3 linked regions of the Sus scrofa genome follow. The protein of the gene in region 2 interacts with the protein of the main gene of each other region in a pairwise test. Links are inferred from orthologs where the notes say so. Each region holds a gene or a part of one and is shown on either strand. Other genes may lie near its edges.

Region 1 (4,334 bases), on a different chromosome or scaffold from region 2:
CCAGAGCCTCCTCCTTAGTCCGGGTGATCTTCTCCTGCCGCCAGGATGAGGGCCGCCGGGACTGGCTGTGCTTGACCAGCAGATGCGAACAGCGGACCCTGGTGGGCTCTCCTTGTCCATTTTTGCTGCCGCCACTGCTGTTGCCACTTGGCCGCTCCCACTGGCTGGCATTAGTGATGTGATTGAAGTAGTACACCCGGCCTGGAAGAGGTGGAAGTGGAATTCAGCTGGGACCTGCTCACAGGACACCACTGGGAAGCCATGATCAGGGGCTGGCTGACGAACTACCTTTCATTCAGCAAGTCCCCAGTGCCACCAGGCCTTAGGGAGCTAGCATTCTAGCTGGGGACACAGACACCAAAGAAGCAAATGAGACCACCTTACAACTTCAGTCATTAATAAGGTCAAGGGGGGAGTGCAGGATTTTTGAGCACTAGCTAGTCTCAGACTACTTGTACTGCCTTACAATAAATGCTACACTTTCTTTCACCACCAAAAAAAAAAAAAAAAAAAAAAAAAGTTCAAGGGGGAAAATAACTGAAGGTTAGGAAGAGAGGAAGCCTCAGGGACAGAGAATGGTTCCAAGCATGCATTCAGCAAGGCCGGTCCAAATCTGTGGCTCCACCACACCCTCACATGTGATCTACCTTCCCGGGGCCGTGGTTTTCTCGCCTATAAAATGAAAATAAGGACAGTACCTGCCTGAAGGAGTGACTGTATGAATTCACATCTGCAAAGTACTTAGGACAGCACCTGGCACACTTAATTAAGAGTGTAGGAGGAGTTCCCGTCATAGCTCAGCGCTAATGAAGCAGACTAGCATCCATGAGAACTTGATCCCTGGCCTCGCTCAGTGGGTTAAGGATCCAGCGGTGCCGTGAGCTGTGGTGTAGGTCACAAATGTGGGTCAGATATAGCATTGCTGTGGCTGTGGCATAGGCTAGCAGCTGTAGCTCCAATTTGACCCCAAGCCAGGGAACTTCCATATGCCATGGGTATGGCCCTAAAAAGACAAAAAAAAAAAAAAAAAAAAAAGACTGTGGCAGCTACTAATATCTCCATGTTATAGACCACAAAACTAAGCAACCTTCCCTGGGTATTTACTCTGCTCCAGGCATAAAAGCCGGGGGTGGGGTGTGGTGGGGGAGATAGCAGGATCTGTACTCAGGTGTGCCAGATGCCAAAACTCTGCTCTTTTCCCCTCTGGAGTGCACTGTGCAGCAGAACTAGGGGCCAGCATTACTGGGGGCCAGATGTTACCCAGAGACTAAGGAGCATGGAGTGAGGGCTGCAAACAAGAAACCTGAGGCCACTCTCTGGCCTTTTGAGATAATATTCTGTCTAAAGAATGTGCATCTTCCAGGCTGCTCTCACCTTCTGAGACGGCCCACACTGTATCAATAAATCTACTTCTTATCTAAGGAAAAAAAAGAAAGAAACTTAAAGTAGGACCCAGTAGAGATAGGCTGTCATTCCAGGGGCCGAGTTTGTCTGGGTTATATGGAGGACTTCTGCCCAAGACCGTGAAGGGCTGGATGTCACCCAGGAGGAAGACTGTCAGGGTTGAGCTGAGCAGAAATGGCAGGAGTGGAGGCCCAGAACTGAGAAGAGCATCAGCTTTTTTGCTGCAGGTCCCAGCCACAGGGCTGCAAGCAGGGTGGGCCAGAGCTGAGCCAAACAATGCCTCTAAAACCTTGGCAATGGGTTCCATCTCCCTGAACCTGAGTGTACTCATCTGAAAAGTGAGGGCAAGGTGAGAGAATAAAGATATAACACTTCATGGGGTTAATGTGGAGAGTCCATCATGATGAGTGCAAAGTGCTCGACAGAGCTCCTGGCGTTCAATAAATTGGAATTATTACTGTGACCATGATGATTATGAGCTATGGAGGCAGGGGAGTGAAATGGTGGGCCTGCATCTCAGAGGTTTACAGTAACAAGGGCAGGGGGCTCTGGAGTTAGACTGGTATCTAACCCAGCCCCCAGCCCCTGAAATGAACGACTATGGGCGAGTTTCTTAAGTTTTCTGGCCTCGGTTTCCTCACCGGCAAACTGGGTGTTATTAACTACCCTACCTCTCAGAGTTGTGGCCAGAGTACACACTTAACACCCTTAGCACAATACTTGGCACTGAGATAAGACCTATTATTAACATTATTATGGGGGAAAAGCCCTAATCGGCTCCGAGCACAGAGACTATTCTCAGGCAGATAACCTGAATTCTCACATTATAGCAAACTCAGAATTCGGTGTGGATGGCAGGCACGTTAGCAGGAGGTTTAGGATTCGAAGCCAAGCAACACCCTGGGGCCACGCCCTGAGCATGGTGTTGGGGTGTCCTTCCCCAGGGGTGCCCCTTGGGCCCAGCAGGGTGCAAAGACATCCCCCCCCACCCCCGCCGGATGTCAGGTGCATTAGGCTGAAAGATGTCAGCAAGATCGGCAGGACCAAGGCCATTGCCTGGGGGAGCGCCGCGGGTACACTGTCCCCCTACCACCCAGGCAGCGCGCCGGGCCTCTCCGACCCAGTCCCTTGCCTCAATTTCCTCGGGTTCCCAGCTCCTCAGGCTCGCAGCCCCGGGGAGGGCCGGGGCCGTTACCCAGGGACAACGCGAAGGAGCCAAGACCCCACGGGAATCGAGCGGCCGCCCGCGTCCGAGGGACAAGCTAGAGCCCTGCTTCCATGGGCCCACACGGCCCCGCCCCAGCCCCGACCCCCGCTGCACCTGAGCTGCGGCTCATGCGCTTCTCCCAGCCGGGTGGCAGTTTCTCTTCGTCCGCCATCTTCCCTCCTGCGGCAGAGCCCGCTCCACCTCCGCCGCACCGCCTCTGCCGCCCGTGCCCGCCCACCACCGCCGCCGATTGGCTGGCCCCGTCACGCCCCGGGGCATGGCGACGACACTCATTGGGAACCCTAACTGTCCGGATTGACTCTCTGGCTTCCTATTGAGCAGAAGAAGGAATAGGCGGAGCTTCACATATTTCACCAGGGCTGGGCCTTCTTGAGGGCCTCACCCAAGCCCCGCCCTCCCCCTTTCCTCGGCCCCTAAGTGGTGGGAAAAGGACCTGAGCCCGCCTAATAACGCCCTTTGGCGAACTTCAAAGAAGTTTCGACCCCGCCTTTGCGTCCTTCGCTGCAGAGCCCATTCGATTGGCCAATGCCGCAGCAATTCCCGCCTTCTTAAGCCTACCCCCAGCCGGCGCCCCCACGTGGAAGTGCCTGGCTGGTGTGAGGGTAACCGCCGCAGAGGAGGTTCTTGGAAAAGGCACGCTGCCTTTGCTGTTACCATAGCAACCCAGTTACCTTGGTGATGAACAGCTAAGAACCCAGAAGCCTAAATTTGGCTTCTCCACCCTCCCTCTTCCCACCTGTTCCTTCCACATGCCCAAAGCTAGCCCACCTCCTTTTAGTTTTGTGTAAGTCTCTTTCCCTATGCTACTTACCTAGACACCTTCCACTTCCTTTAGAATCTACTTTACTTCACTTATTCCCTCACAGTCTGGCTCCTGTCTCCATCCTGGGTGACTGGTAGGTGTTGGCATTGCCATTCAGATGGGGACAAGGGGGAAGGTGCAGGTGGGAAGATGAGGAACTCAGTTTTGAGTCAGTTTAAACTTAAGTCTGGCACATGTGGGACACACCAAGGAGGTGGTTGGAGACCTAGGGCTGGAGACAAACATGGGAGTCAAAACACCAACAGGGAAGAGTTCACTTACAGTTCATCTATAGCACAGGCACTTACGTAACCGCTGAAAAGAATGAGGCTCAGTGACATGAAACGCAGAGGAACACGTCTATGACAAATTACAGAGGTAGGATGCTGTAGGTTAAGAGCATTCAGGAGTCAGATTGCTTTGGGTTCAAAGCCTAGCTCTACCATTTGCTATTACCTTGAACAAATTACTTAACCTCTGCACTTCAGCTTCTCCATCTGTGAAATGAGTTTAAGAGATAATACATATCGTAAATACCTTTGATATAAAGATTAAATGAGTTAATAATCTATATAAAGCACTCAAAAGCAGTATCTGGTCTTAGCAAGGATATATGCTGCTCAGTGGAAAAAAAAGTCATTGTACAGTGTAGCAATTATAGAATGTATGAAAGCATAACAAAACCAAAAAAAAAAAAATTCAGCAAATAAAGGTTAATTTGAAAGAATGACATCACTTACAGAAAGATATCAAAGCTTTAAAAAGGCCTTAAAAAGCAAGCTGCTGAACGGTATGAATGTTATTAGAGTATGCATACTTAGTTGTGTAAAAACTGCAGTTTTATATCACAGAAAATTTCTGGATTCATTCAAATATATTAATGACTAACTTAAGCTCTAA
Region 2 (3,563 bases):
GCGATCATCTCCATCACGCTGGGCATGAGCACGTGGGCAGGGCTCACGGTGCGGCAGCGCTTCAGCACCGGCCCGTCTGGCTCCTCCTTGACGTGCACGTCAGGCTTCACAGGCACCGGCTTCCAGCTGCACGTCGGGTCGATGGTGATCTCCTCGTGGTCAGAGCTGGGCAGGGACAGGCAGGGCTAGTCACCCCCTGCCCGGCTGCCCCTCCTGGCGCTGGGTCGTGTCTAGGCAGACCTTCCCCTCAAATGCTCGGGGGCACCCAGCACGCTCCACGTGCCCTGAGGGGGGCGGGCCTAGGCGGGATGAGGATCCCATCCACGGCCTGGAGTCGAGCCTGCTCCACGTGGATCAGCAAGGGGGCCTCCCCGGGCCAGGGTGGCGCTCTGTTGACCACGGGACGGTGGCGGGGGGAGGGAAAGAAGACTTACTTCTGGATGTAAATGAGGATGCCCAGCATGTACTGGTCCACCTCCAGGCCCTCCAGCAACGCCGTCTTGCTGTGGAAGACAAAGGGGACACGGCTCAGAGGCCTGGCCCAACCTCATCCTGGGCACAGCTGTCCCTGTCCAGCTCCCAGTGTGCCATGACCCTGTGCGAGGTCACTGCCTCGAGCTGCCCCTTCTTCCCCCCCCATGCTGGGACTCCCACACCTGGCCTGGGCATTTCTTGGTGCTGTTGGAAGGAAACGCCTGTGCCACCCCCAGAGCCAGGGGGACCACCTCTGACAGACTCACTTGCACACGGGGCACCTCCAGGTCCCTCGCTCACAGTTGAGCTGCAGATAGGACTCTAGGTCGAAGCACTGCAGAGAAGGGGAGAGATGTTTCGTCCTGGGGCAGGTGGGCTCTGGGCGCTCGCATGATTGAGAGGGCAGGGGGGCCAGGCTTTCCCGAGACTGCAGACAGCCTTTGCAGCCCTCACGGGGCCTGGACCGCCACGCAGCCAAAGCAAGAGTCAGGCAGCCGTGCTGACAGCTGACCTCCAAGGCTCGGTTGGAAAGGTGCAGTAAGAATATACTGCTGGAGTTCCCGTCGTGGCGCAGTGGTTAACGAATCCGACTAGGAACCATGAGGTTGCGGGTTCGGTCCCTGCCCTTGCTCAGTGGGTTAGCGATCCGGCGTTGCCGTGAGCTGTGGTGTAGGTTGCAGACGCGGCTCGGATCCCACGTTGCTGTGGCTCTGGCGTAGGCCGGTGGCTACAGCTCCAATTCAACCCCTAGCCTGGGAACCTCCATATGCTGCGGGAGCGGCCCAAGAAATAGCAAAAAGACCAAAAAAAAAAGACAAAAAATAAATAAATAAATAAATAAATAAATAAAATAAATTAAAAAAAAAAAAAAAAAAAAAAGAATGTACTGCTCACGTAACCCGAAGCAGGTGGGGTGGGGAGTGCGTGTGCAGGGACCTGTGTGCACGCAGAGTGTGTTTCTACAGAGACAGAAACTAAGGCGCTGCTCCTGGGGGCGCCCTGCATCCCTGACGCCTGAGAAATCCGAGTCAGGTCCGTGTGGGGAAATGAATGTTACATGTAGAGTAATATGAGAAGAAACAAAATCCCAGTCTGAGGGGAGAGAGCAGGGGAGCCAGGCCACTGTCACCTGCCTACTGGCTGGCCTGGCCTCCTCAGCTGAGGTGCTCAGAGGCCATGTCCGCTGAAATCGGTTAAATGCGGCAGAGGTTTTGGCAAAGCTCTGCAGTGACCACACACCTGTATGTGGCGACAGTCGTGACCTCGGGCAGGGAGCTGGATCCTGCGGAAGGTGATGGGGCACTTGAGGGACACCTTGATGGCCGTCTGCTCCACCCCATCCTCTCCGTTGGGCCCAGGGGTGCCGGGGATGGTGCCGCTGCTGAAGTTCCGCTTTACTGCCATGGACAGGGCAAAGGGGGACCTGAGCAAAGCCAGGGGCTGGGCGGAGCCCCTGCCCGAGCGGAGACAGCCCTGAGGGACACGGGGACGGGATGCACGCAGCAGTGGCCGCTGCTCGGGTGCGGGGTGGCTGCTGGGGCGGGGGGGCAAGGAGGGCAAGAGCCACTCACTCTTGGTGATGCAGTGCTCGGCCGGCAGGAGGCGCTTCTTGAGGAGACCCTGCAGCACGGAGCGGACAGACGGCCGGTGCACCAGCTGCAGCACGAAGAGGTGGGACTGCAATGGGGGGAACCCAGTCAGCGGGACGTGGCCCGGGGGGAGCAGCGCAGGCCCAGTCCCTCCTCCCTAACTCAGGCAGGCCACCTGCTGCCCCTCCCCCAGGAGCCCAGGGGACCACGTCCATGCCCACATGTAAAGCCCACCACGTGTCTGCACCACAGCCTCTCCATCAACTCAAGAGGCCCCTGAATGCGCCCTGCCTACAGCTCCCCACTGTGATCTGCGCTGGCTCCACGTGAAGCCATCCTAAGCCCGCAGCATTGCATGGGGGCTGCCCTGCCTACAGCACCCCTCCCTCCCACCCAGGCTGCTCTGTGCTGCCCATCTAAGCACATCCTGCCTCTTCTAGTCCTGGATCTCAGAGCCTGCTGGAACCCAGGTGACTCCTTAGCAAGGATTCAGGGTCAGCTGGGGACTCGAGACTCCACGAGCTTCCTCCAGGGAAGACACAGGCTCAGCTCGTTTCTCTTATGTAATTTACATGAGCGCCGAATCTAGTTGGGGAACCGAACCAAAGAGCAGCGAGGCCGTTCATAACCGGGGCCCCTTCCTTCAAGGGCCGGGGTGGGAAGGAGAGCTGTGGAGCCCCCACCCCGGCCTGCGAAGGCACTCACGCAGCAGCAGGCCGTGACGGTGATCTGGATGGTGTTGCGGCCGGGCTGGCACACGTGCTTCAGGTAGAGGGGCTTGTGGGAGGTCTTGTTGTCGCCGCGCTCGATGGTGAGCGGGGTGGCGTTGACGCTGACCTGCACGGAGGCCGGCCAGTTGGTGTTCATCTGTCGGTCCTCGTGGTGGTAGCACTTGAACTGCAGCTCCAGGTCAGGCCTGCGGGGGGAGGACGGATGCTGAGAGCGAGAGGGCGGCACGAGGGGCTGCGAGCTGGGGGCGGGCGCCCGCTCACCTCAGCATCAGGGTCTTATAGACGGAGTCGCGGAGCTGGAAGGCGTGGTTGCTCACGGCCAGGTTGTGCTGCAGGCGGAAGGGCTCCAGGACCACCCCATCCCGCACGGGGAAGGTCAGCCGCAGCTCGTCACAGGGGCCACTGCCTGGAAGCGGGCCACGCTGGTGTGAACGGGCCGTCTGCGCCAGATGCCACCGGGCCGGACAGGCTGCCCCATCCCCATTGCAGGGACCGTGGCGAGGGGAGCACGCACCCCGCTTCCATGGGCCTGGGTGGCATCTCTCCCGGGAACCTGGGCTTGGCCTTCACCTCCAAAAGGAGCAGAATCTTGGCGTCCCTCCACCCCGTCCTGTCTCAGCTGCCCAGTCAGTGATCCCTCCCCATGGCTTCTGGTGCCTTCAGAGGCGTGTGTGGACCACCTGCCATCCCCCTAGTGCTCAACTAGGGTTAGGACCCCAACTGCTGCTGAGTGGTCTCTCAGAAAGCAGTTGTCCTTAACCAGGAGGGG
Region 3 (4,126 bases), on a different chromosome or scaffold from region 2:
CATAGTTTCACAGGTACATTTGTAAAAGGACACACATGAGAGCCTCCAATATTAGCTCTCCCTACCTAATTTAGGGGCATGCAGAACAAGAAAATGTCCCTGGGGAAAACTCAGGCAGCTGAAGATCACATAAGTGAATAGAAACCCTATCTATATATCTTACAAGAGCAGGAAGGAATTTTAGATTTGATCTAAAATTCCACCTCATTTTTCACAAGTGAGACCCAGTGAACATTCTAGGTCATGCAAGTAGCTCAGGATCTTTCAGTCTCCGGAGAATTTGGAATCGAGACCCCTTGGGCTTTCTTAAGGTTACTACTGCTTTCTTGCTCCTTATATTTATGTTTCTAACTTTTATGGCTCAGAGGAAAAAAATCTTAACTGAAATTTGTTGCTGTCACTGGGTTCAAGCCTGTACTGTTTCTATGGAGACAGCTTTGTAGCAGTACCCCTAAGCCCCCAAGTGTTCACAGTCCCAAGTGGGGCTTGAGAATCCACCCAGGGCAGCTGTGAAAGACTTCTTGTGACTTCCTTCCAGATTCTTGCTCAGCAGTGGTATGGGGAATGGGTAAACTGAGGATGTGGGGAGAAGAGAGGAGAGGGGAAGAAAGGAGAGGATGCCTCTGGAGTGGAGGGGACTCAGCATTGTTCCACAATCCAACCAGCAGGGGAGCAGAGCTGTAAGGCAACTCTGAGGCTCTGGGGGAAGTCTCCTGTAGAGCAGCAGGAGGAAACATCCGGCCTGTAGCAGCATTAAGAAGGGCTAATATGTCCCAGGAGGGTAGGATGCCACCAGCCTGAACCTCTTAATATTGGCACAGTGGGATCCTAGTAAAGCACTGACTCAAGGGGGATGCTCTCTACCCAAAACCCAGTATGTCTGCTAAGGCTGTTCCATAGCACGTGGTGCCCTGATTTGATCGTATCTTTTTTTTTTTTTTTAAACAACAGGTGGAAAGGTAAATTTAATCAGTGATCTAGTTTTAGTCACTACAAATACATTATCCTAAAGCTTTTCACTGCACACATTTCATAAAGAAATGCTTAAGTTCACCAAGAGGCTCCTGAGCCTTGATCATATTTCAGCACTTGCAGGAAGTGCCACTGTACTCACATATAATGCTAATAATACTCACATATTAAGTACTTATTTATGATAGGGACTGTACCATATTTTTCCAAGTGTATTAATATGTACTAACTCATTTCACAATAACCTCATGAGGTAGCTAGCGTGAATCATTCCTATTTCACAGATGAGGAAACTGAGGCATGGAAAGGCAAAGTCAACCAACCAAGATTGCAGAGCTAACCAAATGGTAGAGCAAGGATTTGAATCCTAAACGTCTGGCTTCAGAACCCTTGTACTTAATCCTACACTATATTGTTGGGTGAATCAATTATTTGCTAAGCAAATTAGTTAATCCCTGAACCAGGACTTTCAGAGTTTCATAAAGTGAACATATGTAGCCAGATTGTCCCAAACTTGCTCAATCTTAAGAATTATCTGGACATTTGCAAAGATATAGATTCCCCGACCCTAGCCCAGATCTACCCATAATCAAGCAAGTTTGGAAAACCCTAATTTATGTGGAGTCAGCACCACCTACCCTGAATATCATGAAACCTAGTTTTCTGTCTCGACAATGCCTCTGTTTCTGAGGCTGGGCAATGTCACTTCTGTGTACCCTAGTTGCCCTGTAGGCTGCCTCTTACTCACTGGAATATTTTAAGAATACATGAAAACTCACAAAGAAAATCTGTTACTTAAGGAAACTGATGATATCCTAATACCCTCATAAAATGGTATGCTTGTATTAACAGGTATGTTAACTCATACATTTTTTTTTTTTTTTAGCTTGGCCTCCCCTGAAGCACAAACCAACCCATGCCCCTCACCCAGACCTTTCCTCCAGCCTCTACGCCAGGTGACACAGATACACATCCCAAACCAAGCTACATCTGACCGGCTTTAGCTCACTCCCTTTGGGAGTTCTGCTCTGCTGTCTGCTCAGCCCAACAATGAGAAACTTTTTTCTCTTCTCCCTCAGGGGAACCTTCACGTTTATCCAATTCATTCTCTTGCAACCCAACTCCCCAGAAAGAAAGGCGAGGGGGGAAATCCCACCCCTAAGAGACGGTCTTCAGGTCTGAGGAGGTTACTTAGCAACGGCACAAAGACCAGTGAGCAAAGGGGGACCTGGGGAGAAAACTCTTGGGTGGGGAGACAGAGCCAGTTTGAAAACTCCATTTCAGCCGAGAAAAACAACACAGAAAACACAAACAGAATCAATTCCCGAGAAAAGCCAAGCAGGTCTTCTCCCGGGCACAGGTCATCTCCTCACTCCCTGCATCTCAACTCCTTCACCCCCGACTCCCACCCAGTGACCAAGTCCTCCCCCTGGTTTCGCCCATGGCCCGGGTGCCCTCCCTTGCCCTGGCCTGACCCACACAGGCTTGGACTCAGGGCTCCCCCACCCTCCCCAGGCACCCACCGTTCTCAGACGCGCTGGGACCTTCGCAGTCCGAGATTAACTGTTGGGGTTTCCGCTGCTTTCGCCGAGACATTCCCGGGTAGAGAGAGGTGGGATAGGGAGGGGCAACGCTCACTTAGTCTTAACCGGGGTGACCTGGTCTGGTCTCCCCCTTGGGTCTAAAGCCAACTGATGCCTCCCCCAGTGCCAATCACTGTGAAGCAGAGATGTTCTCGTTTCCTGGGACGGACAGACAGACGCGTGCGCTCTCTCTGATTCTCTGTCCCTGACTCTCTCTCTTTCTCTCTCAATCTCTGCAAGTCTTTAAAGGGGAGACGCCCCCTTTTTTTTCTTCAGCTTCTTCCCTACGCTTCTGCAGCTCCCATTGTAAAAGCAAAAATCCTAATCTTTCCGCACACTCTTTTCTTTTGTACTGCAGAGGAAGGGATTTAACCCTCTCCTCCCTGCCAGGGCTCGGGCCTCTCACCATGCTGTCTGTTCAGAAAATGTCCCTCGGTTGTTTTTCTAACCCTCTTCTAAGATCTTCACTCCACCGTGCTTTTTGGTTATTTCATGATTCCATGCCACCTTGTTTGATGATATGACTGCTTCTGGGGTATAAACTGAAATGAGAACTTTATGGTATACCCAGATTATAAGGTTGACAAATCAGCTACCTGCCAGTCAAAAATGAGGATATGGAAGGCTGATAAAAAGATCAAGTAAAAACAGTTATTATAATAACTACTTAATGTATGTAGATCCCTTTATAATTTACAGGATATTTTCATGTACATGACATATTGTGAGTATTACAACTCTGAGATTAGCACAGCAGGTTTTACTACTTCTATTTATAGATGATCCTCTTTATAGATGAACCAAAAGGCTCAGTGAGGTTAAGTAACCTATCGGAGGTTGCACAGCTATGATGTAACAGGGAGAAGCCTTGAAGCCAGTCTAGCATTTTTTTTTTTTCTACTACCTCATTAAAGGTACAATATGCTACCAGACTCCTAGCATGGAAAAAGAGAAGTGATTGATCTCATTTAAGGAATCTAATTTAAAATAGCTACAGGGTCAGTGGCACTTCTGTCTCTCCTACTCCTGTCCAGCTTCCAGGGTTGAAGGGATACCACCTTGGAGAAGATGGTGTAAATGAGTTCCGTGGTACTCCAGAGTAGAAGCTACAAGGAGGCACTTTCAGCTCAATACAAAGGAACTTTATAAAGGGCAATGGACTCTCCAGTGAATTTGTGAGCTCTTTGTAATATGTTCTCACAGAGGCTGAAAACAATTGTCAAGGATTCTGTGGAAAGAATTTCCTTGTGGCTATGAAGTTTGACCTTTAAGGATTCCTCTATGTCTAAAATACATGATTTGGCAACCAACGATGTCTCTCCTGCTCAGCTTGCACACTTAAGGGTAATTAGTTTATTGTTCTTTAACTTCTGACCTTGTTGTTCCTACCTAAATTTGGGGAATACCATACTACTGGGCATAGACTATCTAGATATGCTCTATCTTCTAGCTATAATGCCATGCCCTCTCTTTTAACCTTATTTACCTTTTGCTTTTCTGGCTAAGATGAGAGAGCATCTGAAACACTGTCAGTTAGGAAAGTGGAAATTATTTTTCCCTTTGGAGTTTAG

What was found.
Region 1: the proteins of ZMIZ2 (region 2) and PIN1 interact in binary tests that used the Homo sapiens proteins (3 or more experiments, as listed by UniProt). The two-hybrid records come from large-scale screens. The link is inferred for Sus scrofa from reciprocal best matches to the Homo sapiens genes ZMIZ2 and PIN1.
Region 3: the proteins of ZMIZ2 (region 2) and SALL2 interact in binary tests that used the Homo sapiens proteins (3 or more experiments, as listed by UniProt). The two-hybrid records come from large-scale screens. The link is inferred for Sus scrofa from reciprocal best matches to the Homo sapiens genes ZMIZ2 and SALL2.

Annotation. Positions count from the first base shown.
Region 1 is NC_010444.4:68,714,402-68,718,735, reverse strand, and holds the start of PIN1 (peptidyl-prolyl cis-trans isomerase NIMA-interacting 1), read right to left. Parts: upstream 2,839-4,334; 5' UTR 2,784-2,838; coding exon 2,726-2,783; intron 202-2,725; coding exon 1-201. UniProt on the Homo sapiens protein: Peptidyl-prolyl cis/trans isomerase (PPIase) that binds to and isomerizes specific phosphorylated Ser/Thr-Pro (pSer/Thr-Pro) motifs.
Region 2 is NC_010460.4:50,585,385-50,588,947, forward strand, and holds part of ZMIZ2 (zinc finger MIZ domain-containing protein 2), read right to left. Parts: intron 3,201-3,563; coding exon 3,056-3,200; intron 2,980-3,055; coding exon 2,769-2,979; intron 2,152-2,768; coding exon 2,046-2,151; intron 1,872-2,045; coding exon 1,714-1,871; intron 809-1,713; coding exon 741-808; intron 504-740; coding exon 435-503; intron 166-434; coding exon 1-165. UniProt on the Homo sapiens protein: Increases ligand-dependent transcriptional activity of AR and other nuclear hormone receptors.
Region 3 is NC_010449.5:77,637,697-77,641,822, reverse strand, and holds the start of SALL2 (sal-like protein 2), read right to left. Parts: upstream 2,853-4,126; 5' UTR 2,569-2,852; coding exon 2,496-2,568; intron 1-2,495. UniProt on the Homo sapiens protein: Probable transcription factor that plays a role in eye development before, during, and after optic fissure closure.